Linked DNA regions of Rattus norvegicus. The protein of the gene in region 1 binds, or shares a complex with, the protein of each later gene. Links are inferred from orthologs where the notes say so. Each region holds a gene or a part of one and is shown in the gene's direction. Other genes may lie near its edges. The genes, in order: Mefv, Casp8, Ripk3, Zbp1, Ripk1 and Aim2.

Evidence for each region.
Region 2: Mefv (region 1) and Casp8 share a complex: the UniProt entries of both Homo sapiens proteins name them as parts of the AIM2 PANoptosome complex. The link is inferred for Rattus norvegicus from reciprocal best matches to the Homo sapiens genes MEFV and CASP8.
Region 3: Mefv (region 1) and Ripk3 share a complex: the UniProt entries of both Homo sapiens proteins name them as parts of the AIM2 PANoptosome complex. The link is inferred for Rattus norvegicus from reciprocal best matches to the Homo sapiens genes MEFV and RIPK3.
Region 4: Mefv (region 1) and Zbp1 share a complex: the UniProt entries of both Homo sapiens proteins name them as parts of the AIM2 PANoptosome complex. The link is inferred for Rattus norvegicus from reciprocal best matches to the Homo sapiens genes MEFV and ZBP1.
Region 5: Mefv (region 1) and Ripk1 share a complex: the UniProt entries of both Homo sapiens proteins name them as parts of the AIM2 PANoptosome complex. The link is inferred for Rattus norvegicus from reciprocal best matches to the Homo sapiens genes MEFV and RIPK1.
Region 6: Mefv (region 1) and Aim2 share a complex: the UniProt entries of both Homo sapiens proteins name them as parts of the AIM2 PANoptosome complex. The link is inferred for Rattus norvegicus from reciprocal best matches to the Homo sapiens genes MEFV and AIM2.

Annotation. Positions count from the first base shown.
Region 1 is NC_086028.1:12,299,762-12,304,503, forward strand, and holds the end of Mefv (pyrin), read left to right. Parts: intron 1-55; coding exon 56-78; intron 79-1,691; coding exon 1,692-1,807; intron 1,808-1,978; coding exon 1,979-2,271; intron 2,272-2,625; coding exon 2,626-2,661; 3' UTR 2,662-2,819; coding exon of another isoform or gene 2,820-2,828; 3' UTR 2,829-3,572; downstream 3,573-4,742. UniProt on the Homo sapiens protein: Involved in the regulation of innate immunity and the inflammatory response in response to IFNG/IFN-gamma.
Region 2 is NC_086027.1:67,784,752-67,789,493, forward strand, and holds part of Casp8 (caspase-8), read left to right. Parts: intron 1-2,106; 5' UTR 2,107-2,134; coding exon 2,135-2,439; intron 2,440-4,742. UniProt on the Homo sapiens protein: Thiol protease that plays a key role in programmed cell death by acting as a molecular switch for apoptosis, necroptosis and pyroptosis, and is required to prevent tissue damage during embryonic development and adulthood.
Region 3 is NC_086033.1:33,259,226-33,263,491, reverse strand, and holds the start of Ripk3 (receptor-interacting serine/threonine-protein kinase 3), read left to right. Parts: upstream 1-1,466; 5' UTR 1,467-1,722; intron 1,723-2,167; exon of another isoform or gene 2,168-2,303; intron 2,304-4,163; exon of another isoform or gene 4,164-4,191; 5' UTR 4,192-4,266. UniProt on the Homo sapiens protein: Serine/threonine-protein kinase that activates necroptosis and apoptosis, two parallel forms of cell death. Necroptosis, a programmed cell death process in response to death-inducing TNF-alpha family members, is triggered by RIPK3 following activation by ZBP1.
Region 4 is NC_086021.1:182,418,702-182,424,243, reverse strand, and holds the start of Zbp1 (Z-DNA-binding protein 1), read left to right. Parts: upstream 1-2,226; coding exon 2,227-2,260; intron 2,261-3,877; coding exon 3,878-4,117; intron 4,118-5,071; coding exon 5,072-5,263; intron 5,264-5,542.
Region 5 is NC_086035.1:31,062,942-31,067,683, reverse strand, and holds part of Ripk1 (receptor-interacting serine/threonine-protein kinase 1), read left to right. Parts: intron 1-1,020; exon of another isoform or gene 1,021-1,132; intron 1,133-1,662; coding exon 1,663-1,891; intron 1,892-3,271; coding exon 3,272-3,421; intron 3,422-4,742. UniProt on the Homo sapiens protein: Serine-threonine kinase which is a key regulator of TNF-mediated apoptosis, necroptosis and inflammatory pathways.
Region 6 is NC_086031.1:88,396,748-88,402,191, forward strand, and holds the start of Aim2 (interferon-inducible protein AIM2), read left to right. Parts: upstream 1-1,874; 5' UTR 1,875-1,967; intron 1,968-5,444. UniProt on the Homo sapiens protein: Sensor component of the AIM2 inflammasome, which mediates inflammasome activation in response to the presence of double-stranded DNA (dsDNA) in the cytosol, leading to subsequent pyroptosis.

The DNA of each region.
Region 1 (4,742 bases):
GGAGTCACAACTCTTGGAGACTGTTAATGGAGATCTTCCCTTTTTTCTCTCCTAGGACATTGGAGCCACCTTGCACAGGTGCAGAGAGATCCCATGGTATCCCCTTGGGTGTCTAGCAGAAAGCATTTGGATGATACAGTCTTAGGAAGGAGCTGGGTCTGTAACCCAGAGCTCTGTTTCCTGAAGCTTCCTGAGGCCATCATTCCTGGATTTGTGTGGGAAGAACAAAATGGGAGTCTGACCAAGTGGGGGTGGGGAGGGCAGGAATGGATTACTGGGAAGAAAGAACGTACCCCAGTCCTGCCTAACCCAAGTGGTGCTTCCCTAAGAAACCTCTCGGATGGATGTTTTTTGTTTCGTGACAGGGTTCCCAGAACTGCCTCTAATCTCAAGCACTTTGGGAAGAGGGGTGTCCCTGGGGGTTGATTTGAAAGTGGGTGAAGCCAAGCAGGCAGGGGAAGAGAAAGGTGAGCTAGAAAAGGCTACATCCCAGAGTCACTTAGGAACTTTACAAAATCCTGGTTTCCAGGCCTCAGCCACAGTGACTAAATCCCAGTCCCGAGGCTGGGAGTTGGGGGTTAGTGGGATTTAAAAATGATTTTCCCACTAAAATATGCAGATCATAAAGTCTCAATTATTTTATGCCTGCAGTGCACTAATGCTAATACATCTGTGTTGGCGTGCACCTGCTTGCACCATCTAACTCCATAACCTTTTTGTCTTCCCACACAAGAACTCTGTACCCTTGAACACTAACTCCTCATCCTCCCTCCCCTGTCTCCTGGCAACCACCAGTCTGGTTTTCCTTGCTTATTAGGTTGACTGTTCTAAACACCCCATGTCGTCAGAACCATGCGAGTTGTCCCTTAGCCTTCAGCTTGCTTTCATGCCACACGTTTTCACAGCTCATTCGTGCTGTAACTGCGTCAGAATTCCACTCTATTTAACTGCCAAGAGACTCCCCTTTGGATGCAGCTACCACAGAGTATTTGTTGATGGACATTTGGACTGTTTCTGCCTTTGGGCTATTGGGAGCAGTGTTTTTATGTGCACAGTACAAGTGCTGCTCCAGACTCTGCCTTTAGTTTCTCAGATTTTTGCACCTACTGTATTTCCGCCCCATCGAGAGATTTTTAAGGAACTTGCACATTATTTCCAGTGGTATATGTGTCATTTTATATCCCCTCCCGAGGTGCTCATTTCTCCACCTCTTTGTTATCAACTTATAACTTCCCCTTACTGTTTTTCATTGCTGTTATAATAGCCACTCTAATGGGAGTGAATTGGCATTCGTTGTTCTTTTTTTTCCCTTTCAATAGAAGTAGTAAAGTATAATTCATTTGACACAGAGAACTCTGACAGCAAGACTTACTCAGTTTTTTTTCTTTTCTTTTCTTTTTTTCGGAGCTGGGGACCGAACCCAGGGCCTTGGGCTTGCTAGGCAAGCGTTCTACCACTGAGCTAAATCCCCAACCCCGACTAACTCAGTTTTAAGGCTGCCATTTAAACTCACTGTGATCTTTATAGCAGTAGTTCAAAGATGCCCAGTGTGCAGCTGAAGGTGAGGACCAGTGTCAGAGTTTTGAGTCTAGGAAAGACTTCTTGGCGTCACCTGAGCCGGGACAGTCTGTCACCTCATGGGGCTGCAGACGACATCTTGTCCTCTCTGGCTGACAATCTCTTGTCTCTAGGGCTGAGACGATGACTGCCTCTGAGCTGTTGGGCATTCCTCCAGGCGTTAAAGAAAAACTGCACCTGCTCTACCAGAAATCAAAGTCCGCCGAGAAGAATATGCAGCGTTTCTCAGGTCAGCGAGCTCTGAGGAAGGTGGAAAGTACCCGCTCGTTTCCTCCTTGGGGTTCAGGCAGCTCAGATTCACTTCCCCACCAACAAATCGTTTCTGACCCCGCCTCCAGCTTCTTTCTGTTCTAACTCGTTCACTCACTCAGTTTCTTCCATTCTCCTTCCTCTATTTTAGAAATGCTGGGCTCCGAAATGGCATTCAGCGCTTCAGATGTAGCAACACGGGAAGGGTGCAGGCCTAGCACAACCAAGGCCCAGGCCTTGATCCCCACCGTTCACCTAAAGTGTGATGGTGCACACACACAGGATTTCGATGTAATACTTTGCGCAGAGCTGGAAGCTGGAGGATCAGAACCTCAAGATTACCTTCATCCGTCGTCAGCTCAAGACACACCTGAGCTACACGAGATCCATTCTCAGAACAACAAAAGAAAATTTAAATCTTTCCTGAAGTGGAAACCTTCCTTCGTAAGTATGGTGGTAACGAGCTCATCAAGGGTTTTTGTAATTATCCTTTATCTGTTGCTCTGGGGAATGATTCAGAAGGTGGAGGGGTGGGGATACACCTAGAACTGAAGCATAAAACAGGTCATAAAGGGCTTCACAGCTCTGCTTGGTCCCACTGTGTTTGCCTTGTTGATCGAAGTAACAGCTTCAGTGTTTAGGGTGCCTGGGAGATCTTGGCTGATGACTAACATAGGCTTCAGAGCCCTAAGAAGGAGAGTCCTCATCTTTCCTTGTGGGGAGAGTATAATTCAGACCTCCTGAATGGACATACTTAAAACTTTATTCCACCTTTCTTTCCCCCCTCCCCCTCTGTAGTCCAGAACCGACAGGTGCTTAAGAACATGCTGGTAAATGCCTAAATCAAGGCAAGTACTGGCTTTGGTACACCGGGTCCCTGTATGTTCCTGTCCCCTACCGCAATCTCAGTAAACTCCCTCTTCCTTAGATTGGGAGCGCCTTGGGAGAAGCCCACACATCCCCATCCCAGCTAGGTCTTCTTCTTCCTGCAGTTGTCGTGACTGGGACCTAGCAGCTGTTCACCCCAGCCTCATCTTCTGTGGTGATACGAAGAGTGCACGGACCTGCTGCCTGACACTCTCCAGAGGTTCTAAAGTTACATCACCATGCTGGGGACTACTCCTGTCTTGGACTCCAGCGGCTGTCACTGGGAGGTGGAGTATGGAGACAAGACAGTTCAGAGTCCCAGGAACTTGCAACGCTCTGGCGAGCAGGAAGGGGACTATAACTCAGTGGAGAATGGCTCCTGGTGGTAATAATAGCAACGCAACAGGAAGGCACATTTCTCCAGCCTGTGAATGAGGGTGGCCCCAAGCAGGCGGGCAGCTTTCTAGACTACACAGCTAGGAGCAACATGACATGTACCTGGCCTCTGGCTTCTCCCCTCCAGTTCCTGTCAACCTGCCTTTAACCCTGGGGACATGAAGAACAACATAGCTCTTTGGACCCTCAGTCCTGCCAGTGACCAGATACTTCACCGAGCGCCCAACACTGTGCCAACATTCTGGCTTATGCCTCACATTCATGCACTCGGAAGTCATTAAAAAGGTGTCAGCTGGTGCAAGGAATGGAATGAATAGGAAGATAATAAACTGAGAGGCTGAGGCAGGATGGTACCCGTGAGTTTGAGTCTAACTGGATGGATTCGGGTTACTCTGACTGGGGTCCAGCCGTCAAAAAGAAAAAACAATATTGTACTTGTATTATTTAGTACTATTATTGCTGTAATAAAATATTCTGACAAAGCAACTGGGGGAGGAGGCATTTATTCTGATTCATAGTTGAAGGGTTAGAGCATCCTGGCAGAGGGCCACATGGCAGGCACGTGAGGCAGATGACCACATTGCATCTGCCATCAAGAGGCAGAGAGTGACGGCCTTCAAAAGCCTGTCTTTTCCCTTCACTATGCCGTCTAGGACTCAAGCCTAGGGAATGTTGCCACCCACATTTATAGGGTAGATCTTCCCTCCTCGACCAACCTACTCAAGGTACACTCTCACACACATGCCCAGGCACTTGTCCCATGCGTGACACTAAATCCTGATGAGTTGACAACATTAGCCAACACAGTATGCAAGAAGCACAGTAAACCCTAGCAGAGGAACTCTGATACTGTCGATCAAAGGCAAAGGGGCCGTCCACCGCAACGGCATCCCGTGGCGGTGAGAAGAGGAAGTGCGTGGCTGTTTCACAACACAGCCAGAATTGGTACTCTCAGACGTTCTTGAGACAGAGGAGCCATTCCATGTTCCTTCCCCAGGGAAGAATATGCCCATCATTCTGTCTGCCCTGGTCTTGAGGACACATAAAACCTACAGAGAAGAAAAGTAAGCAGACTCCCAAGAGGAGCATGCTCTCCTTGCTTCGTTTGTTTTCTTAAGGAAGCATCTTTCTGGCTTTAAAGGTGATGTCTTTACAGGAACCAGCACATTTAAGCTTCCGTATCATGTACTGTATTTCCAATGCTCTCCCTCCCACCTCCAGGCCCAACCGTGGTCCAGAGACCCTTACATTCTACTAGATCTCAGACCTGAAGAGAATTACGTATCCGTTTCCTTTCGGGCAGTCTGCTGCTATTCCTATTATTATAAAATACCCTTTTGCAACTTGTCTTTTAATTTATTCTATTTGTTGTCTTGTGTCATACTACATTAACATCTAGTGATTTAGACATAACTATGAAGGCAGGCTGTACATATTTTACTGGGTAACAATACTACCTTTGTGTGTGTGCGCGCCCGTCTGCATGATTGTTCACATATGTGTGAATGTGGGGGTATATGGCACACGTAGAGTGGAGATCAACCTCAAACCATTCTTCAGATGCATCTGTTGGCAACCAGCCATCTCCACCGCCAGCCCCTAGGGGCCCAGCAACAACAGGGTAAGTCCTTATTAGCTGCCAAGATGGGACA
Region 2 (4,742 bases), on another chromosome or scaffold:
CGTAAACACATTCATATGGAGCTTGCAAGGTGCACAGATCAGTTAAGGAAGATCAGTAAAGACTGCCTTTCTTTAGAGGTTAGTTTGATCGCATAATCAAACTACAATATGAATTCCCGTTCATGCCATCTTAAAGGATGGTATATAATAATAAGTCATGAGAATTTTGTACCCAAAGTGTTATTGGCTGTATATAGACATTTAAGTCTCAGCTGGTCCCAGAGTCTCTGTACAGAAACAAACGTCACCACACACACATCACCTATCTTGTTGATCTTTTCAGTCTCCTTCTTGTCTGTAGCCAAGGTCTTCAGGGGGTCTCCCTTCGTCATGGTTGATTTTTATCTACTTAGAAGGAGCCCATAGCTTTTCTTTTCCTATGGAAATATAAGCAGAACCTCTCCCCTAGTAGATTACATTTCTCGTTTTTCATTTTGATGTTAGAATTCTTAAAACAAATAGACTGGTCTAGTTCAGCAGTGCTCCACAATCTAATGTCTTTCAGCAACCATAGTTTTTGGTTCATTAGCATTTAAAAATTTTTTCCCGGCCCCCCCCCCAGCATTTAAAAATTTTAAGGTTAGTAAAACACTATGTAATCTATTTCTGAGGGCTGAATGTTAAGTATCTCTTAGAATACGACTAGGTCTCTCTACAATTGCTAGCCCTGTAGGATCATGTGACATGCCTGAAACATGTTTTATACTAGGTAAAAACTTGTTTCATCTGATTAGACACATATGTTGGACCATTGTTCATTTTAATTTGTATGAGATGTGTAATTATGGAGTCAGCCTTTTCTGAAGCTAAGGCAGTTGTCTATTGAAATCCTGAATGCGTGTCAATTGTATGATGTATAAATCTGAGTTTACCAAACTCTGTAAAGTGGAACACATCCATTTGTCAAATTTCATTTCTTTGGGGACCTTTAGGGTTACTTCCTGTAGGTAAGAGAGTTTGGTTCTATAATGAACAAGTAGGACATTGCCTCACAATTTCCTTGGCTTGTTGTCAAGTGATACAGAATTCTTTCTTTTCTTTAAATCCTTGCTGTTAACATGGTCATTTTTTTCTATTCTCTTTTTTTCATAGCTGGGGACCGAACCCAGGGCCTTGCGCTTGCTAGGCAAGTGCTCTACCACTGAGCCAAATCCCCAACCCCAACATGGTCATTTTTTAATGGAATTTTTAAGCCTCTAGTGGACAGGTCTGTGGTGCATTTTCTTGATCCTGATTTATGTGGAAGGCCCTGCTCACTGTGGACAGTGCCACCGATAGTTTTGGGTGCCACAGGAAAGCAGGTAAAGCAAGCTATGAGGAGCAAGCCAGTAAGCAGCACTCCTCCATTCTCTACATGTTTCTGTCTTCAGGCTCCTGCCCTGACTTCCTTGACTGATGGACTCTATAAGCTATACGAGTAAAGAAACTCTTTCTTGCCAAATTGCTTTTGGTCATGATGTTTTTGCCATAGCAATAGAAACGAACTGAGAACCCTCAGGACCAGGGGTTTCTCCTTCTTGGAGGTTGTCGTGGTTTTAGTGTTTGTTAGTAGCTGAGCGTTATTTGATGTTATCTCAGATTCACAGCTTCAGGAGAAAGGTAGCCTTCTACCCCTCATTTTACAAACAAAGAGTCTGAGGAAGGCAGAGTGTCCAGTGGTATAGCCAGGTTTTGATATAGGAAGAGGCCATGTTCCGAGCCATGACTCTTACTCTCCTCCCTGCAGCGTCACCAACAATCCGTTCTAGCCCCCTGTGGGGTGGCTCTACTGGAGCAATTTGTCTCCACATTTTGTATGCACTTTTCCTTTAAGAACTGCTTTTCTTGTCTCCTCCCCAAAAGTCTCTTGCCCACAGGAATCCCTATTTCCAAGATGGATATGGCACCCAGGAGGTGACTCTGTGACCAGTGGCTTTCTGTATATTTACCTTCCTAAACAAAAGTTTCTAAGAAGCAGGAACTTCCTGTTTTGTTTCATGTTATTCTCCATTTCTTCCCTCTAAAGTGTCTGGAATATGGTAGATAAAGTAAGCTTTTGACAGGAAACAAGCTGGTAGCTGACACTTAACTTCCTCACCTGACCATTAGCAACTTGTGTTGACCCAGGTTACAGCTCTCCTACCCCTTGGTAAGAATGGATTTCCACAGTTGTCTTTACGATATTGCTGAACGTCTGGGCAACGAAGAACTGGCTGCCCTCAAGTTCCTGTGCTTGGACCACATCCCGCAGAAGAAGCAGGAGTCCATCAATGATGTCCTGGTGCTATTTCAGAGGCTGCAGGAAGAGGGGATGTTGGAGGAAGACAATTTGTCCTTCCTGAAGGAGCTGCTTTTCCATATCAGTCGGCGGGATCTGCTGAGCAGAGTCCTAAAAAGCAGCCCAGAGGAAATGGTGAGGGAGCTGCAGGTTCTGGGCAAAGCCCAGGTTTCTGCCTACAGGTGGGTAGAAAGGCTGTGGTGGGGGGCCTGGGAAGTGTGGGCCCAGGGGACACGCCTCTGTGGCATGTGTGAAGTGACGGGCGAGACTGCAGAATAAATGAAGACATGTGGGGGCTAAGTACATAATTCAGAGAAAACTGCTGAACCATAAAATAATGTATCTTCATGCAGCAGGGTGCAGAAGGGGACAGGATGAGGAGAAGGAATTTGGCTGCAGGAATTCAGCCGAGAGAGGACAGTGTTGGGGGAATATGACTCAGTTACTAGGGGACCCACAAAAGACCAGGCTGAACAATGTGCTACGTATGTGTAGTAGTTACTTTGCTTGTGCTGTGATAAAATACCATGACCAAAAGCAATTTATAGAAGAGTTTATGTTGGATTACATTTCCAGAGGGCAAGTAATGACAGAGCTAACATGGCAGCAAGCAGGCACGGTGGCAGGAGCAGGAAGCTGAGAATTCACATCTGCCACACACACACAGAAAACAGAAAGTGTGACCCGCAAGTCGGGTGAGGCCAAACCTCTCAAAGTCTGTCCCCGGGTGATGTGTTTCCTCCTGCAAGGCTCTGCATTCTAAAAGCGTCCTAATCTTCCAAGACAGCCTGGGGACCAAGTGTTCAACTAACATAAGCCAGGAAGGACATTTTTCAGTCAAACCACTACGATGTGTAATTTAAATTTTTCATTTTTCAATGTGAAACATTACCTTCTGGTAGGCTGGTAATGAGATTTTTAAAAAAATTTTTTTTTAAGTTTTAGTGTATAATCGGGCACTGTACTTGCATATGTGTCTATACAGCATTTGCATATAGGCTTCCTGCAGAGGCCAGAAGAGGGCACTAAGTCAGGTGGACATGGAGTCACAGACAGTTGTGAGCTGCCGTGTGGGTGTTGGGAATCGGACCTGTGTGTTTGGAAGAGTCATCAGAGCTCTGTTTGGTTGATTGGTTTTATTTTTTGCTTTTTCATTATTTATTTTTTTTTATTTTTTTTACATCCTAATCAAAGCCCCCTTCCTTTACTCCACCCTCCCATTGCCCTTCTCCCCCATCCCCACCTGGCACTTTAAGTCACAGCAGGACTAAGCGCATCCTCTCTTACTGAGGTCAGACAAAGCAGCCCAGCTAGAGGAAAAGAATCCAAAGGCAAGCAACAGAGTGCTCCAGTAATTGGGGGACCCACAAAAGACCAGGCTGAACAATGTGCTACACGTGTAGGAGGCCTAGGTCCAGTCCTATATGCTCTTTGGATGGTGGTTCAGTCTCTGTGAGCGCCCGTGGGTGCAAGGTAGTTGACTCTGTAAGTCGTCTTGTGATCTCCTTGACCCCTCAGACTCTCAATCCTTTCCCCCACTCTTCCACAAGACTCCCGAGTTCTGCCTGATGTTTGGTTATGGGTCTCTGAATCCATTTCTATCCACTGCTGGATGAAGGGTCTAGGAAGACGGTTATGCTAGGCTCCTGTCTTCTTAAATATTCTAGTTTTCTTCCTCTTCTTTCTTGCTAAAGGAAGTTAAAACACCTTAGGTTTAAAATAATGAGTCTAGGAACCCTGAGGAGAATAGACAAGGATCCCAGCAGGCTATGAGGTAGCCACTTCCACCAGCTCAGGAGGACTGGGCTCTGGAAAAAACAACAAAGCATTTACGCTTTCCCCAAGTAAGTAAACTTGGTAACTTTGTAAGTACACATTGGTACATGCTCTTGCCTGATGTAACAAATTGTAAGGGACAGGATTGTGGGTAATGATGACTCCTAAGAGAGTCTTGGTCTTCTCCGGGAAAGGAACACCCAGACTGCCCCTGTGCTGGGCAAGGGGAGGGGAAATGGAAAAATCTAGAGGTGTGCTCACTTTTTTGGGGGGGGGGGCGTTTCACTTCTTGAAATAAACCGGAAATTCTTTGCATTACCCCTGCCCTGGTGGCGAGGGGGGGGAGAGGAGCTGGGGGGGGGCGCTGGGAGGGTGGGTGCAGGCCTGAATTAATAAGAAGGCAGGTTCACACATCTGTGTGTATCATGGTGGCTCACACTTAAAGCCACAGAAGGGTTGCGTACACAAGTAGGTGGGAAGGGTTGTTATTATGGGAAGCAGCACAAAAACACCTCACCCTGCCTGGAAGTGGCCACCTCCTATAGCCAGGCATGACTTCCAGTGGAAGGATGGGGATGTCAGCCCACCCACAAAGTTTTGCCCTGCCTATAAGATGTGTTTGTAGTCTGGGGCTCCTCAAACATTGCACCTCACAAATCTCAGGTTAATGAAAGTGAAAAAAAGGCATGGGCTGGGCTGTGAGGGGACT
Region 3 (4,266 bases), on another chromosome or scaffold:
AGGGGCCTAGGATCTGTGAGTAGAATCTGCTAGAACACACTCCACACTCCTTTCTATGAGGGAATGAGGGAGGGCTTTACTTTTCTGAGACAGGAAGCACGGGTGACACATAACCCAGTAACTTTGTGAAGTCATCTCAGCTCGGCACAGAAAAACAAGAGGCTTTGTCTTGCATGGAGTCCTGCAGAAGGATATACTTTCAGCACTGGAAGCCTTCAAAAGAACGCTGCCAGGAGAAGGGAAGGTGGGCAGCAGCCGCTGAGGTCTGCTTCCAGGCAGAAACTTACATTGTATCTCTTTTCTGCCCAAATCCTGACTTCTCCAAGCTCAGCACAGTCCCTCAAAGTGGCAGATTGTTGCTGTTTGGCTTGTTTTTCCTTTGTTTGGTTTTGGTTTGGTTTTGGATTTTTTGGTTTTGTGGTGCCCCCCCCCCCATTAGGGATATTTCTCCCTTTCTGGTGAGGTACATTTTCCATCAGTTAAGGCAGAGACAACGGACCTGTGCTGCCACCTTTTTTTTTAGAATTATTTATTTATTTTGTCTGAGTACACTGTAGCTGTCTCCGGACACACCAGAAGAGGGCACCAGATCCCCTTACAGATGGTTGTGAGCCACCATGTGATTGCTGGGAATTGAACTCAGAACCTCGGAAGAGCAGTCCACCTTTTTTTTTTTTTTAAAAGGTTCCAGGGTTGGGGATTTAGCTCAGTGGTAGAGCGCTTGCCTAGCAAGCACAAGGCCCTGGGTTTGGTCCTCAGCTCCAGAAAAAAAAAAAAAAAAAAAAAAAAAAAAAAGGTTCCTTAACACTTCGGGGTTTTTTTTGTTTGTTTGTTTTGTTTTTGTTTGTTTTTGTTGTTGTTGTTGTTTGTTTGTTTGTTTTTTCCAGATATAACAACAGGTTCTTTTTCCGGTTCCTCAAAGCACCACGAAACTGCCACTGGGTGGGACCAAGACAGAAGAGAATGTAAACATTGGGTTCCATCCCCTGGACTCAAGGGAAGACCCTTATTCAGAGAAGGGCTTGATGGCTGGAAGGGAACAAAATGAAAGAGGCTTTCTGACTCTCAGCATAGAGGCCTGAGCATACAGAGCAAGTGGGTTAGGAGAGAGCTGGACATGGATGGGAAGGAAACGGAGGATACTTCCTAACATATCCTCTTAAATAAACTGGATCGAAGACGCACTGTGGAACGGGGAAAGGACAGAGCACCCACCTCAGGCCAACCTGACCTTCTGTACATAATTACAACACAAGGATATCCAGGAGAGAAAACAGCCTTGGCCCCCACAAAGACAGTGGGGTGACAGGCAGGGCCCCAAGACAGGAACAGGAACCTAGCTCTAACATCTGAGGGAAGCCACTGGAGTGTAAGAATCTGCAACTGCTAACTGCCATTGCCATGAGTCACTGTGGTGACCAAAGGCAAATTAAGACAGCACCCCAGAAGAACTCCATAAGCGTGACAGAGACCCAAGCTGAGCCTAACTGGCCGAAAGAGTCTCCAGACTTGGTCACTGTTACCTGAGGAAAAGTAGCTGTCCCATGCACTGTGGCTGTCCCGGCCATGTAGGGAGCAGCAGCTGGCAAGGAGTCAGGGGAATCAAGCCTTAGAAAGAGGAAGAGTCTGCCAAGGGAGCTGGGAGAGCAGCCCTGCCAGGGCTGCTGTTGGCTGAGGGAGAGGAGGAGGGCCATGCCATCCAGACCCAACAAGAGGTCAAAGGTAAGCATCCTGCCGGGTCTCAGCTGCTGACCTGACCCCACCATCCTGGGGTGCTGGGGGGCCATCTGCCTTTCAACGCAAGGTTTCGGGCCTTGTCCCTTCTTCTCCAGCTTCTGCCCCTTAACACTTTGTTTACATCCAGGCCAAAACAAAAAAGTTTGGGGAGTTTCTAATTTCTTTATCTGCAGTGTGTCTAGCCTCAGCCTGTGGCGAATCGCTAACAGTAAGTATATCGTCTGGGGAAAAAGGCCAACTCTTGTCATGGTTGATGGTAATGTCACATGATGCCTGGGCAGAAAAGGAAACAGAAAGTAAGTTTGTCCTGTGAACTTCCTTGTTGGATTACAACACCCTCCTGAACCGGAAAGCAACACACACACACACACACACACACACACACACACACACACACACATCTCCAAGTTTATCGCTGTCAGAATCTTACCATAGGCAAACTCCATGACCTAGTAATTTCAGTCAGGAACGAAAGGCGGACACCAAAGAGTCTCTGGGTTACAGTAGAGCAGGAAGGAGAGGGAAGCAGCCTCATCTCAGTATAGGACCCCCAGGGAGAACAGGAGGCTGCAATTCAGTACACACCTCATAAATTCATCTCCGAAAAATTAGAATATCAAGTTTTAAATAAGAACATAGAGGGCTGGGGAGATGACTCAGTAGTTAGGAGCGTGTGCTGCTCTTCCAGAGGATGCAAGTTTAGTTCTCAATGACGGAGGCAGGTGGCCCACGACTGCCTCTAACTCCGATTCCAGTGTATCTGACACCCTCTTCTAACCTCATCTAAATAAATAACATAAAAATACAAGAAAATGGGGTTGGGGATTTAGCTCAGTGGTAGAGCACTTGCCTAGCAAGCACAAGGCCCTGGGTTCGGTCCCCAGCTCCGGAAAAAACAGAAAAAAAAAAAAAGTACAAGAAAATAAAAACCATCCACCCATGAACCCCTATTTGAGAACAACTCCTTAGAACATATTCCTACTTGATTACTTAGTTTTGTTTGAGACAGAATCTTACTACATAGACCAGGCTAGCCACAAATTCACCATCCTCCTGCCTCAGCCTCCCTTGTGCTAGGCCAATATATCTATCTCTTATTCAGATATTCTTTTCTTTTTCTTTTCTTTTTTTTTTTATTAACTTGAGTTTTTTCTTTTTTAAAAAAAAAAAGATTTATTTATTTTATATGAGTACACTGTCACTCTCTTCAGACACACTGTGGCACCAGATCCTATGACAGATGGTTGTGAGCCACCATGTGGTTCCTGGGAATTTAACTCAGGACCTCTGGAAGAGCAGTCAGTGCTCCTAACCTCTGAGCCATCTCTCCAGGCCCAGATATTTTTTTAAACAGGTCTATACATACTTCTTTGTTTCGTTTCTTTTCTATTGTTTGAGATAGTCCCTGTCTCACCCTGTAGTTCAGGCTGGCCTTGAATTTGGGAGTTATCAGAAGATGATCTCCAATTCCTCATCTTCTTGCCTAGATCTGCAAAGTGTTGTGGTTACAGGCACACGTTACCAAGCCCAGCTTTTTTACGTTTCTTTTATTTCCCCCAATAAAATTTAATGTTTACACTCAGCCAAAACGCTTATTAACACAGACTGTTAAATATTCATTAATCGATCTTCAGATACCACCACCGCCCCCTTTTGAGGCAAGGTCTCAGGTAGCCCAGGTTGACCTTAAACTCACTACGTAACTATTAATAACCTTAAACTGGCCCCCTGGCCACCACCATCAAAGAGCTGGGATGATAGGATTCCAGGGGTGTTCCACCACTCCTGGTTTACACACATGCTGGGATCCAACTCATGGCTTCTGGCAAGAGAGGAAACCCGCCAAATGATTTACATTCCCTACTCCCTGAATCTCGTTTCTGATACATTAAATTTTATCTTTATCTGATCCTTTTTACTTGTAAAATATGCGTAACTTAAAATGCATCATTTTGCTTACCTAGGAAGCGCAAGGCCCTGGCTGGGTTCGGTCCCAGCTCCGGAAAAAAAGAACCAAAAAAAAAAAAAAAAAGCATCATTTTACACATTTAAAATACATAGTTCGGCGGCATTAACTATATTCATACTGTTGCTGTTATTACCATCCGTTACTAGAACGTACTAAAAAATACAAAAAGGACAGGAAAATACTTTTAAAGTCACAGAGAGATTGGGGGGAGGGGAGCAACATCAGCCAAAACTTCCCATAACTACCGAAATCGCAGGACTGGAGTCACAGCTGAGCACACTGGTCCCCTGAAAAAGAACCTCCTTTAAATTTGGGGAGATAGGCAAGGCTGTAGAAAAGCTTTGTGTAAGGAGCAGGGAGGTTTAATATACATAAGCACACCGGAAGAGGGGAAAATGTAAACATGGACCGTACATCCTGCCAATGTATCTTCTCAAGGAGTGAAAGGATGACGAAAATAATGAAAATGCACTTCCTCTACACAGACTACAAAATTCCTAACGACAGAAACTAAGACTTCAGAAACTCCAAGCTGCATCAAGTTGAGGAAGTATTCAAAC
Region 4 (5,542 bases), on another chromosome or scaffold:
CACAGCCCCATCCCAGAGAGAAGTGACCTTAGAAGCTGAATCAGAGACCTTGTAGAATGCCATTTACCCTCCCATGCTCACCCAGCTTCTTGATATATGGGGCCCAGGACAATGAGCCTAGGAATGGTGCTGCCCACAGTGGTCCGTGTTCTCTCGAATCAGTCAGCAATCACGATATTCTCTCATGGTGTGTTCACAACCGATCCACTCTGGGCAATCCTCAGTTGACAGATGAAGCTACCCACCCCTTCCCTCATCCCCATCCCCATCCCCAACCTTTACTCCTCCTTCCTTTGAGGAGTGCACTCGTGATAGGTAGAATTCCAGCAACCTTTCTAAAACTCAAGGCAAACCCACAAACAGGCTATAAATGGCAGAGCGACAGGATAAAAAGAACCTGGGTGACTGACAGCACCAAGTCTGGGGTACCTGCCAACCATTTGCAAGCAAGAGCAACAACAAAAACAATAACAAAAAGGCACATCTGCACCGTCTAGTCTACGGCCACAGGTGCTGACGGTAGGCCCAATGTTGAAAATTAGCTTGGAATCTTTTCTTTTCTTTTTTCTTTTTTTAAGAAAAAATTTTTTGAAAAACAAATTATGATTTATTTATTGGGGCTGGAGAGATAGTTCAGAGGTTAAGAGCACTGAATCCTCTTCCAGAGGCCCTGAGTTCAATTCCCAGCAACCACATGGTGGCTCACAACCATCTGTAATGGGATCTGATGCCCTCTTCTGGCCTGCAGGGTATATGCAGATAGAGCCCTCACATACCTAAAATCAATCAATAAATAAATCTTTCATAGTCTTAAGATTTATATATTATGTATAGAGTACTCTGCGGGTTGAGGGACATTTTTAGAGGGGTCGCCTAAGACCCTTGGAAAGCACAGATCTTTACATTACGTTACAGTTACATAACAGTAGCCAAATCCCAGTCAGGAAGTGTTGACGAAGGTAATTCCTATGGCTGGGGAATCACCACAGCGTGAGGAACTGTATTAAAAGGTTGCAGAGTTAGGACAGTTGAGAACCGCTGACCTAGGAGGCCCTGACTCCTTCCAGGTCTGCTAATGTAAGGAACAGAAGGGAAGACCTGTAAAGGATGCTCAAGAAAGAAGCGAGGAAAGCGGGCATGTCCTGAAGCCCGGTTAAGTCTGAAGCCACCTTGGCCAGGGATCAAGCAAGACCCCCTGGGCAACAGGCGGTTGGTGAGCAGGCACCACCTAGTGGTCAGTCTCCAAAATGACATCTCTAGGGAACTGGGGCAATGTCCCCCAACAGGCCAGGTTGAGAGCTTGTTTAAAAGCCACCTTATTTATTTTGGGTGCCACAGGCAGTGCAGTTTCTGTTTTCCTTGGCTGGTTCTGCAGGCACTGTTTTTCCTCCCTGGAAGTCATAAAAAGCACTTGGAAATGTTAAAGTTTTCCCAAGCTGTGCGGATCTGGCCTGATGGTGGCCTGCCTGGTGACCTTTTCAGGCTCCGAGAGGTAAAGCTGACTGGGGACCTGCTGCCAGCTGCTTGCTTTGCAGACATCACCTCCTTCTGGTCTCCATTGACTGTTCCTGTCCCGCCCTGTGCACCAGGGACCTGCACACCAGACAGGTCCCCCCACCCTGTAGCTGGGACCCAGATTCAGGGATTATTATGGGCTGAGTGGTGAACACAAGGCCATCTCTGTGAGTCTCCATCCCCCTCTCCCGTAATATGGACAGAGAGGTGTCTGAACTGTTCTCGGGCCGCTGAGAATTTATGAAAGTGAAAGGAGTCTGTCTCTTCTTCTAAAACATATGTGGGTAGACAGTACTAGACCAGGCAGGAGAGGCACCGTGGGTGCCTTTTCCTAGATCACCATCTTCCTCCTCACAGGGCTTTCAGAGTCCTCTTCAGGTCTCACTCTTCCCGTGGGCAGTCCCACCCCAGAGGCCAAGACCCCGCTCTTTTCTGTCACATGGTCTGTCCAACTCCAGCTTCCTCATCCACCCTGATTTTGACAATTCTTTCATTCGAGAATCACACCAAAGTTTCATTTTCTGTTTCTTCAGAAAGCCAGAGGGCGGGGAAGGGGTGCAGCCAGATGGGTATTAGTTTCCGGGGTGGTAACAGCTGGTGTCTGCAGGTCCAAACAAGCATTCTTTCTTGTGGACTCAGAGCCCCAGGCCTGGCCACAGTGCTGGGACCTGCCACCCCCACCCCTAAAAGTGCCCCACGGCTGCTGGGAGCATGGCGGAGGCTTCTGTGGACCTGGGCACGGGAGGTAAGTTAAACTCTTCCTTCACCACCTTTGGGTCCTGGGTGAAGTTTCTACGGCTCCTGGCTGTTTCCTTAGCCCAGACGGCAGCAGGACTCTGAGGTCACCACAGAGAAGTCAGCTTGCTTCAGGGATCCTGTGCCCCAGATCCTTCATGTCCTCTTACCTCATAGATGAGGTCACCAAGGCCTGTGACAGGCCTGGGGCTCTGAACTGTCATCTCGAGAGAGGACTTTGCTTTGATAGGAAGATGTGACTTTGATTTTGTAGTCAAGCTTTTCTCCTGCCCTAGTCAAATCCTTGCTGCAATCATGTAGTCCATCTAGGGGCTTCTGGGCTATGGGAGGCTACGGGGTGCAGGGCTGTGTGAGGCTGCGATGCTGTGGACAGGATTTAATTTACTGCTTGTCTAGGTCCTTCTGGGTTATCCTTTCTTATTTCAGACCTGGAAACATACTAGAAGTTGCTGCTCATAAGCTATCAGGGAGGGGCCAGGCCAGGTGCCAGTTTCTTTCCTGGGCAAAGAAGACCAGGAACTAAAACTCGCCTGACTCCTGTAGTTTCCTAACACTACTAACCTGTCCAGCCTTACCAACTCCAGTCTTCTGCTTCCTAACGTCCCGCTTTCAGACCCTGCAACCAGTCCTTCAAGCCCACCCTTTGGGGAAGGCTTTGCCTCTCTTGTGTGTCTTTAGGGGTCAGTGGGGGAGGGGAGGGGAGGGGAGCCTGCTACACGACACACTCCCCAGCAAAGGTTTCTCAAGGCAAGGCAAAGCCAACCCAGGAATAGAGATGCTAAGTCCTCTAATTCCAGCACTGCAGTGGGGGTGGATCTGGGGCTGAAGCAGGAGGATTGCTGTGAATTTCAAGCTAGCCTGAGCTATATGGTAAGACTTTGTCAGGAGAGGAAAGAAAGAAAGTTAAAGGCAGACACACGGACAAGCAGACGAACCTGCTGAAAGGAGCATGAGGTGGGACTTGGGGGACCCTCGGGGTTAGGCACAGAGGAGGCTGGTTGGCTAGCAGAGGCCCATCGAAGCTCCCGGTGGAGGGATCTGGGGGCAAGCTTTCTGGAGTTGGTGGCCATCTGGAAGATGGCTTCAAGGCCCAGGTAAAAGAACTGAGCTGGGTTTTCCGGGGCTCCTGCTCTATCAGGCATGGGAGGAGAGACCCATTTCTCTTATCTGCTGGACTCCTGACCTGGGAACACCCACACCATAGATGTGGGTGCTGAGCTGGAGAGAAAGGGAGTCCCTGGCCGGGCTGGGAGAGACATCAAGACACCACGGAGGGACTTCAGGGCCAGACTTGGTTTCACACCTCTCCCTCTTGCTCCATCGTCTGAGGGCTGAGGGTTCCTACCTGCTTGACTTCCACATAGTACACAGGGCAGGCTGCATATGACTTTACCACTCCAGACATCTATCTGTGGAGCCAGCGTTCACCTGACTGACACCCTCGCCTCCGACTGGTATCCTCGCTTACTGTCTGCTTGGCCCAGGTCACGGGTGCCTTCTCTGCTCTAGGGTCTCTCCGGAGATCCCTCCTGTGCCCGGAAGCTTGGATGCAGGGTGTCCCCGGGGACTAGGCTTGACTCAGTTCTTCTCTGTGTTCCTCCCCGAGACAACCTGGAGCAGAAGATCCTGCAGGTGTTGAGTGATGCTGGTAGTCCTGTGCAGATCGACCAGCTGTTGAAGAAGTTACAAGTGCCCAAGAAAATCCTCAACCAAGTCCTTTACCGCCTGAAGAAAGAGGGCCGAGTGTCCTCGCCGGCGCCAGCGACGTGGTCCTTAGGTGGAGATGGGGCTTCCGGAGATGGGGCTCCCGAGATCCCTGAGGACTCCGCTGCCCAGCCTAGCCTTGGTAATCTGTCACGTCGGCAGAGCAGAAGCCCCTCCCCCCACCACCACATACACCCCTTAAGAGCCATCTTGTCATAGGCAAGCCCAGATTCAGGCTTGGCTTCAAATCTGAGCTCGGCCATCCCCTCTCTGTCTCTGGATTTCTCCCGGCCAATGGAGCTAATGTTGAGCCTAGGGCTTAGCCATAGAAGGCTTGCAGTAGACAACAGCAGGGTCAAAGACACAACCCAGGCAATAGTCACAGCGAGAGTGAGGGCTGACGGTAAGTAAGGATTCACTCAGAGCCTTCGGGTGACTTTGAGAGCCACGGAGAAGAAAGGACCCACAGTTCCAAGTGCTGACACTGCCCCCGCCCCCCCCCCCCCCACACCAGAGCCATCTTGCCTTCATTCAACCCTCAGACAGAGACAGGAAAGGAAGCAGCCTCAACCTTCAACAGACAGCATCCATGACCCAAGCAGATCGGAAGCCCTGGGACCCAGCCTAATGTGCTGTCCCCCAGCTCTCCGGAGAAACTATTCTGTTTTTAATGGAGCAGGGCATCTCCTGTCTTCAACTGACACATCCTTCTTCCAGTCCCAAGACCCTAATGAGATGTGGGTGCAGCTCCAGAGAGTCCTGGCCTGCATCTCGGTGCATGCTGGAGGCCTCCCCAGACCCCTGAAGCTCCATGGGAGTGTCAGAGGCCAGACTCACTGTTAGAAGAGAGAGGTTCTAAATGGTGAGATGTGGGCTCTGACACCCCTGCGTCAGTCTGCGCCAGTCTCTAGGGTGAGAGCCTCATCCGCTTGGTCTCCAGAGGACCACTGTCCCCAAGATGACCCAATATGTGCTTCTGACAGACCCTCGCCATGTCCCTGGGCTTCACGAGTATCCCAGGCCACAGGCAGTAGGTGGTGGGTAGATGCAAGCCCAGGGCTCTCTTCCCACGAAGCACCTGCCTCCTGCTTTGCAGAAGAAAGGATATTAAGATTCCTGGAGACTAAAGGGCCCCAGAGGGCCCTGCATATCGCCAAGGCTCTGGGAATGACGACGGCCAAAGAAGTGAACCCCATCCTGTATTCCATGAGGAATAAGCACCTTCTGACCGTGTCTGACACACAGATGTGGACCATCTACCGCTCAAGCCAGGAAGGCCAAGAGCGAGGTATGAGAGGTCAAAGTCGGTTTGGGGAGGTCGGGGGTCAAGGGTCAGGTTGGGAAGGTCAAGTTTCAGGTCAGGAAGGTCAAGGGTCAGGATTAGGTCACTGAGGGTCAGGTTGAAGAAAAAAATCAAGGATAAGGATTGGATGGTCTAGGGACAGATTTTTTTGTTGCTGTTGTTGTTGCAGATTTTCTTTTATATTTGTGCATCTTATTTTATCTGTACGAGTGCATTGCCTGCGTGTACACGCACCACATGCGTGCACTGCCTGCAGAGGTTAGA
Region 5 (4,742 bases), on another chromosome or scaffold:
CACGGTGCTGCTTGCAAGGCTAGCATAGTACAAGGTGTGGGCTTGACTGGATTGAAGGATACGATGAAAAAGATCTCATCCCTGGTTCCTGGGTTTTGTTTCCCTCTGATTAGATTTGGAAATGGAAACACTGAAGGGTTGCTACCTTCCCTCTGGAATGGGCTATCTGCTCATCATCTTTCCCAGGAAATCTTGTGACTGAGACTTCTCCACCCTGGAGAGAAAGGGAGTATAGAAGTGTGTGGAGACTATTCTTAAAATTCAGAAAAGGCTTAAAAGCAGTAGTAAGTCAACCATTTTGGCCTCAGAATCCTCCACTTTGTGGACCAAGGGGCATAGTTCAGTGGAGAAAACTAGTCTCGCACATCTTTGGTCCTAGACTCAGTCCTGGCTCTCCAAGACAAAGACTTCTGCTTTGACATCCTGTTTATGTCTATTTTCATTTAAGGAGTCAATTTACTTTTGAAAATTCTTTTTATCATAGCAGAGGTAATAAGGAAAATGCAGCCTATTCAGGAGCTACATGTAACTGAGGAAGCAACAGCACACATAATTAGTCTTGGTAGCTAGAATCCAAGCTGGAGACCTGAAGGGGGACCAGATAGCTCAGGGCCAGAGTTCTGGGTTTCATCCCCACACCTACACCAACAAGAAACAAAAAGATCCTGAAAACATTTAGCACTGGGGAAGAACCAGGACCTGCCTACAAGATCCGCATCAGACGCCATTCATGTCTCAGACGGCTGTTAATCCCAACGTCTTTTTTTCTTTCAATTAAGAACTTATCCTTTGTGTTCTGGGTTAAAATCTGTGCATTTCATGTAGGCACATGCTCTATCTAGCTCCTCCCTAAATGCTTCTTAGAGGCAGAAGAGGACCACCTCCTTGGATTGTCCCGTAACTGTCCTCCTCTGCCATTTCCCCTTGCCACTTTATTCTTTGCTGCGTCTGACTTGGTTATCTTTTTCTCTGCCTTTATGTGTGTTTCGATTTCCTTCTCTCCATCCTGTCTTCTCTTAGGTGCAAACTGCCAACACAAAACAAGTAGCAGCAACAGTCCCACCCTCAGGGTGGCTTTGGGATGCTCAGAGAAACAACCACGGTCCTCTGGATGTTATTGGGCAAATGAAAGGTGTGGTAACCAGTCTCTGTCTTCCCCAGAAAAGACCAAAACAAAAAAAAAAAATATGCAAAGTAAATGAGAAATTAGCACAAACACAGTTTTGTTGTCTTGCCCCAGTGTTATTGGTTAAGAATTGAGATGCCAAGGCCCCAGCAAGATAGCTCAGCTAGTAAAGATACTTTGCTGCTGGGCTTGAAGACCCAAGTTCAATCCCAGTATGGAGCGAAAGGACTTCTGCAAGTTGTCTTCTGACTCACACACACATCTTGAAATATGCGCCCCCTCAAAATAAATAAAAATAAATAAATAAATAAATGTTTAAAAGAAACTTTAAAAAATAATTGATATGCTAGCATTTTACATGAACATTCTGAGAGTCTATTGAGAGGTAACTATTCTAGATAGGCCCATGCAGCAACTGAAAAATTGATTGTGCCACACATGTACTGGATAAGCCCCAGACTTGAATTCATGAAAATCCAGTTTGATTTACTCATAAGCCTTCGTGATGAGTTCCGTTGGCCCCTCTTCTCTTCCAGATAGCCGATCTTGGTGTGGCTTCCTTTAAGACATGGAGCAAACTGACTAAGGAGGAACACAACAAGCAGAGGGAGGCCAGCAGCGTCACCAAGAAGAACGGAGGCACCCTCTACTACATGGCACCGGAACACCTGACTGACATCAACACAAAGCCCACAGAGAAGTCAGATGTGTACAGCTTCGCCATTGTGCTTTGGGCAATATTTGCTAATAAGGAGCCCTATGAGAGTAAGACATGTATAGTCATGGGACTTTGATAGTAATGAAAACCGTTAGATGAGGGTTGGTAAGAAGGCTCAGTGAGTAAAGGCCTTTACCACTGACCCTGACAACCTGAGTTCAGTCCAAATTCCAGGACTTATGTGGAGAAGGAGGGAACTGACTTCTGAAAATTGATCTCTGACTTCTCTGTACATGCACTGCAGCATGCAGATATATCTCCTACTCTCTCTCTCTCTCTCTCTCTCTCTCCCCTCTATTCTCTTTTCTTTCTGTCTCTTGATGTACACAAACACTCCCACACTAAATTTTTTAAATATCATTTTTAAACATAAACTGATACCCTTTAGTTAATTCTGTTAAAATCTATAATTGTTCATTTAATTGCTTTCTGTAGTGTCATAAAGGCCAATCCCATATCTAATTTATTCACTGCTATTTATTTAGCAGATACACACACATACCCACCACGGGGGGCGGGGGGCGGGAAGCACCAGCCTGAAATATTAGGTACCGAGGAGACCTTTGTTGGATTAGTCATCCCAGTTTAGGATGGGGTGAGTAGACTCCTTTATAATATAGCTCAGCTCAGTATTCTTCCTGGAGTGGGGACAGCCATACTTTGATTCTATTTGTGAACGAGCCTTTTTCATTACTTACTGTGGGCAGTTCAGTCAGCTGGAATGTAAAGGAAACTAAGTCGTTGTTTGTACAGGGAAAAGTCATCCTTCCATGTGTGTAAAGAAATGACTGCCTTCTATGACTTCTTCATGATTACCAACACCAATAGATCAGGGATCTGGTGACTCTTAAACCTTAGTCTCTGACCATGACCAAGACATCCACAGATCTGTTAGACCCAGCAAGTATACCACAGGAACCTCCAAAATAGCATCCCCTGAAAAAGTTGCCAAGTTTATCAGCACAGTACAGGTTGTTTACCACCCGCACTGAATGGCACAATAAGCAACTTTAACTGTTCTCATCTTGATTGTTTTTACCAAAACCCCTCATTCTTGATTCTAGAGTATCGGTTATCATGTATATGTTTAAGTCACTCTCATTAATCTGAGCTTCTTAAAGCCCTGGCCATCCTGTATTTGCCTCTGTATTCTATGACTTTACCCATTTATTCTGTTTGTTCTGTGAAAAGGTAGCTTTGTTCTGATTTTTTGTCTTTCTTCTGCAAAGTCAAAACATCATCCTATCATTCTGTAGTAGACTACATCAGCTCCTTGCTACAAGGTTGCTACTCTATGGAATGAGACAGCCATGGAAAAAGCATACCCTAGGTAGAGACAAAATAGCAGCATTATCCAGGTCCTGTCATCTTCCTGCTTGAGAGCAGAGTGGGACTGAGCCCTAACTGAAGTTCACCCCTCTTTGCAGATGTCATCTGTACTGAGCAGTTCTTGGTCTGCATAAACTCTGGGAACAGGCCAAATGTGGAGGACATCCTTGAGTTCTGTCCAAGGGAGATCATCAGCCTCATGGAGCGGTGTTGGCAGACCAACCCAGAAGACAGGCCAACATTTTTTGGTAAGAATGGGTTGTATGCCTATTTAGGCTGCATCTGACAGGATGGCACTCTTCAGCAAGGTGACACTGGTAATTTAGTTTCTTTTCCTGTTGCTGAGACAAAGAGGACAAAGCAACTCGAGGAAAAGGTATATTTTGGCTCAGTTCAAGGGTACAGTCTACCATGGCATGGTGGGAGGTCACAGTAGCTGGAGCCCGAGGCAGCTGGCCACACTGCATCTACAGTCACAAAGGAGGCAGACATAGATGCTGGCAGTCATTTGCTCTCTCCTTTTATTCAGTGCAAGGTCTCAGCCCATGGGATGCTGCTGCCCACATTCAGGGTGGGCTTTCCCTGCTTCACACCCCCACAGACACATCTAGAAGTTGGTAAGGAGAGTCAGCCATCAGTTAGGAACATACTTTGAGTACCACTTCACCTGTGGCTTCAAACTGACTGGAAAGATTTCAAACAACTTGTCAATGAAAAGGTCTACCCTTCCACAAAGCATGGGCTTCTTCATTTCCTTCTTTAGTTTGGGGAATTAGCGTTGTTATTGTAGCACATATGCTTTCCATCTTGTAAGTATACTGTCTAGTGGTGTGAAGTCCATTCCATTTTCAACAATACCTACCACTATCCATCTCCAAGATCCCTCAGCCTAGAGCACAACCCTGTGCTCAGGAAGTGTTAGCTCCACTTCCCCTTTCCTCTCTCCCCTCTCCAGCCTTAACAGTCACTATTCTATTGACTCTGACTGCACCAAGTATCTCATGTAAGCAAAAATTGCACAATACTTCTATTTTGTATCTGTTGTATTTTACCAGCTGTCTTTAAGGTCCATCCATGTGACAGAATGTGTCAAAATGTACTTTTTATTGCAGAAAAATATTCTACTCTGTAGATAGTTTTTGTGAGTGTGTGTTCGTCTGTTGATAAGTACTTGGCCTAACTATTTCTAGCTTCTTTCACTTATATGCCTCCTTAGTTGGCACCTTATTGGCATCCTTAGAAATTAATTCTGGCATATAGGCTGGCCCTACAGTTGAGGAAAAGGAAGGAGACACGAGCATTTGGCCCATCCCCTAGACTACCTAGGAGTGTGAAGTAGGCCAAAGGAGAAAAGCAGAGATACAATAGGAGCTACTCAGAAATGTACACAGCATCATATTGTTGTATTTCTGTGAGAAAACAGAACTGGAGTTCCAGCCATTCCCACTTTGTAAACCAAGCTGACCTCACATTTACAGAAATACCATGCCTCTGCCTTCTGGTTGCTGTGATTACAGGAATGCACTGCCATGCATGACTAGACACACCTCTTACAGGTCTCACAACTCC
Region 6 (5,444 bases), on another chromosome or scaffold:
TAGTCCTTGACGTTTCCAATAGAGAGAGTCCTGGGCAGAGAAGAATGAAGGTGAGGTTTCCAACTAGAAGAACGAAGGGCTACAGTTAGAAGAAAACCAGCATTGAAGCAGATGCTTACAACACCCAGCAGAAACCAACACAGGAAGTTAAGGCCGTTAACTTTCTTTCTATGACTGAAAGTCACACTTTAGGCCCTGATACACCATGGTTAAAAAAAAAATGTTGGAAATAATTGACCTAGTTTTTAAGGACATAATATTTTTATTCTTGAGCTGTTTTGCCCTCCCTGTAACAGAGAAGGAAAACTAGACATCCCCAGGCAAGAAGCCTTGGAGGGCACGGTGAGACAAATAACACTCTGAAGTAGCAGGAGGACAAAACCAGCCTCTCACTGAGTAAACGGGGCATGCCAATTTAAAGAAGTAATGTGCACTATAGCTGCTAGGACAATCCTGGGTAATAAAAGAGATCTGATTATGCAGAACCCAACCTTTTTATTGTGTTGATATTTAAATCATAGAAAACCAACCACCAGCAAGTGGGTGGGTGCTGTGCCCAGGGCTGTGTTAGCCCCTTAGGCTATGAGCTCCCTGGCAATACAGGAATTACCTCTCATGGAGTTCCCTATGTCTAAAATACCTCTGGTTGAGACCTCACAGCTGAAGGAGAAATTCTGCTGAGGCTTGTCAGGAAAAGGAAACTGAAAACTAGACTTTGTTTGGGCAGAGCCTTAATATATAATTATTTTGCCCCAGCATCAGGGCTTACTTAGGACTCAGCTACAGGGCTAAGACTTGCCAAGTTTCAAAGTGAAAGGAGGCAGTAAGTACTTTCTGTCTCTCAAGACCTGATTTTCATGATTTTCATGTCCTACCACTAATAGTGAACATCTTTGTGAGGTGAATGGTTTGAACTATCAGGATTTACACCAGTCCCCGAATTGAGGACTTAGGCTGCTGCAGAGAGAAAAATCCAGGGAGGTAAGTAAGGTATGTCAGAAATTTTCCGGAAAAAGCTTTAGGACCATTTTGCTAATCAGTAAATTAGGAGGAAAGAGGAGTCATGGGCTTCTGTGGTTAGAAGGAAGGATTATATTCCAGAAAAGAATAAGGCTGCAGGGAGCCTGGTTCTAAACCCTCAGTTGACTGTGGAACACACGTTATCTTTTATTGTACTACAACTGAGACCTTTACAAAAGAAAGTGCATTTGGTTGTGGCAGGAATTAGAACATATTGTTCAGAGGGTTGACCCAGACTGAGCCTAAAAGGAACTCTGATTTTCTGGGTGTGTTGGTCTGTAGGTGTTTTATTGACATGGATTTATATTTAGAAGAGGGTTTTTGGTTTCTAGCTGAAGGGGAAAAGCAACATAGGGGGTAGAGAGCAATTTCTCGATATAAGTTAAGAATAACGGCATGGCAGAAAGCCTATGATGTCACATTAGCTTGAAAGCATGGAGCTTGAAACTCTAAGTAACCTTCCCATCGAAGACATGTCAAGTCAAGCAGATCATGTTATTCCATAATCCCAGATGTTCAAGTGGCCCGGCATTTTTTCAAAAATTATGTATGCTTTTAATCTCCATTTCCTTTACTTTATTAGGTATTAGAAAATTCATTTCGGTCTACTTCCAACTGGATCCCACTTCTTTCCCACTTCCGTAGTGAAATCCCTAGAATTTGGGGGAAAGAGTGTTCCTATGATATCTGCAGAGGTTTGTATACCTGCTGGTGGCTTGGGAAGGTTTTGGGACTTTCACAAAGTAGAACTTACTGGAGAAACCTTATTGGAGGAAGTGGGACACTGAGGGCGGGCTGTGAGAGGTGATAGGCTGTCTCACTTGTAACTCTGCTTCCTGTATGAGAAAGAATTACAACTCGCCTGCCTCCTGTCCTGCCTGCTGCCACGCTTTTCTTACTGGCTACTATGTTTTCCCTGGCCTGAAGAACTCCACCCTCATGGACCTGTAAGTAAAAATAAAATCTACTTCTCCCCTATGCTGCTGATGTTCATTTTATCAAAGCAGAAAAGAAACTAATACAGTAACGACTCTTTGAAAGTCACTGATAACCTTTGTGCCCTTACTGAAAGCGTGGTAGATATTTCTAAGTATGGATCAGAACATAGTTGTTAATTATGTTTTTAAATCTTTTTGCTTTTTATGTTATTTTATTCTTGGCTATTTAAAACTTTAGTTATCGAAGGAACTGTTTTGTAAGTCCCGATCCTCAAGGCACATTTGTCATTTGTTCATGGAGAACTGTCAGACTTTGTTCACAGCTGTTGGCTTTACTCAGTGAGGGGCATACTGTTTAGAACTGTTATATTTGCCTTAGTGACTTTAACATTTAATCATTGTATAGCAACTCTGTCCTTAATGGCACTATTTGTCTTAGAGTCTTCTCTGACTAATATTAATAGAGCTGTTCTAACTAGGGCTTTTGTGCTTAGTGCCTGATACATAGGTCCACATTTCTGCTTCGCGACTCTTCAGCACTTCAGTTTCCCCAATGTATCTTTTGTAAACACCCTAGGAGCCACAGTGGGTTTTAATCCAGTTTAGCATTCCTTTTAAACCTGTGAGTCTAATTCATGTGTGTTCTGTCCATTGAGATATTTGAATCTTGTGTGACCGTCTTATATCCCTTCATATGATGTTTCCTTTTCCATGTCTGTTTTCTTCTTTTTAAACAATTCGCTTAAGATTAGTCTTTATACAGAATGATGCCTACTGTGATAGTCGTGTTTTCAAAAGTACCATTCATACATCTCGCGGGGACATGCCATTTATCATTACCCAGAAAATGATTTCTGATGTGGGTTTTGGGGAAATGCTGTAACGTAGAGTTTACTGCTTCAGGGAGGTGAATGAGCACACAGCATAGCCACTCTGAAGTGGAAGGCCCTGTGTGATTTAGTACATAGACAAGGCTGTATACCTTCCCCTGAATCTAGCTCCAAGATATGAGACTTGCTCTTTCTATTTATCCCCACAACTGTTTAAATATTACCTTCTCAAAGAGACACAGTCACTACCAACTTGAGTTACACCACACAGGCCCAGCCCACGTTCTTAATGAAAACTATGTGCTATACATACTTATACTTGTTTTGGAAATAGTGAAGAAATCTTGTCTGATTCATGACTCACTTCCTCTCAGACTTGTAAGATGCCTGACTGGACAAAATGAGCTGATTTGTGAACAACGGCTGTTGATTTCCTGGTTTATCTCTCAAATGCGTCTCTTTTGCATTTTTTATTTTAAAAAGGAGTTTTGCAAGTTTTTAAGACATACGGGTTGGCTGTTTAATCACAAGTTCATAGGGAGTGTAGCAAAGTTTGGGTCTTTTGGGATACTCCCATGACGCAACTGCATAATCTGTCGTGGGGGCAGCCCGACCTGCAGCAATCATTCTCAGGGGAAGGCATGTTGGTACTGGCACGGCGCTGTGTGGTTTGGAGAGCTCTCTCTGCCATGTTACATATTAAATCCTCATAGTACCATCTCCTGCTGTCCATATTTAACTGATGGCGAATCAACCCCATGAGATAAGTACAAGTTAGGGTCAGAGCCTGATTTATATACTCCTGTCTTGGTACCACCTTTTACTAGGGCATTTTTCTAAGTTAAATCTGGACACCCATCTGTAGTTGTGATTTTTGGAGATTTGTAAGAAGCCGTTCAATCGACATCAAGTAGTGACCTGATATATAGCTGCTCACCACGGGAACAAAGCCTTAGGCATCTGTTGTCCAGAGTCTGGTGGAGTGGATGTTTGTCGTGAGGCTTTTCTAAGAAGAAGAATGCTGTCTGACATTTCAAAGTCTCTTTTAGTTGCTTGCTCTCCCCATAGCATGATAAATATAAACTTCACACTATAATAATAACATATGTTGTGCACACCAGGTGTCAGGTATACCTTATGAATTGCATACTTATGTAATTTAGCCACATCTCACGTGGAGTCTGTGCAGTAGGGACCATCAGACGATTCTTCATCAAAGTACTAGAAAACATCTTTGATCCCATCACAGAGCTAGAAAGTGAAAACATGTAATTCTAACACATGTAGTCTCTGTACCAGGAAAATATCACCCAATAGAAATATAATATAAATAAATACACTTACATTTTCTAGTAGCTACCTTAAAAAACAAAAGCAAAACCCAATAACAGCAGCCCAATATGTTTGATTAAAGTCAAAGTATCCAAAATATTTACTGAGTCTTCAAAACTCTGGCATATATTTTGTTCTCAGAGAACGTAATTTCTGGTGGTAAATTTTCATCTATATTTACATTTATATTTATATATATTTAAAATTCACAAAATTTACAGTTGAAAATGTAGGTTTACATATTCAAGTAATTTTAATCACACTGATTTTTCTAGAAACCAAATTGAGTTTGTTTTTAATTAAAATTAAATATAATATAAAATTCAGTCCTGTCAGCTGCACACATGAAATATTTGAGAACTGCATCTAGTTGTTGTAAGCAGGTTGCTCTGGAATTCAAGCCTGTTTTCTATTTGTTTACTAATTAACTGATTAATTGATTTCTGGTGTGTATGTGTGTGTGACATACATGTGTGTGTCCGTCTGTCCGTTGGTCTGTCTGTCTGCGTATGCATGCCAGAGTTCAGGGTGGGGTATCTTCCTTGATTTGCTCTCCATTTTATTCTTTGCAACAGGGTCTTCTCCTAATGAACCTGGAACTCAAATGATTTGGTTGGGTTACTAGGCCAGAGAACTGTAGGGATCTACCCATCTGTCTTCCCAGTTCTGGAATTATAGTGCGTCCTTTGTGCCCATCTTTTAACATGGGAGCTGGCAGTTTACTAATTAAGCCATCTCCCTAACCTCTATAATTCATATAGAGATTCAGTTGCAGAATAGAATCACTCTTTTCTCTGTGCCTCTGCTCCAACTGCCCAATCCTGGAAAAAGCTCTTTCCACCTTCTCCTCAAGGGTTTTCCAGGTTTCTCTGACTTTCATCCCATAATATCCACAATGTCTCCTCATATTGACTTTAACACACAACTGTCAGACCCTGCATATATCTAAACATTTGCTTGGAGAAAGGCAAAATGCTTTGCAGAAGAAAACACAAACAAACTACAGGTAAGAAAAGTCAAGATGAGAGCAAGCAGCCAGAGAGCTATAGCAATCCCAGAAGAAAATAGCAGCCAGAACAGATTGTGTACCAGAACCCTGGGATTAATGAGGTTCCAAACTAGCTTGTGAAGTTATTTTTGAAACCCTCTCACATCCTTCTTTTTGGTGGTATGGTGATATAGGGAAAGTGGCATTGTCCTTTGGAAAGGCTACTGAAGAAAAAAAAATGAGAATGCAGGCAAAGCCTACTGGGTAATGTAAAGAAAAGGAATCAGTTGTGAGCCTCGCCTCTCTTGCATTCTGGTCAGAGCTGAGCACTAACTT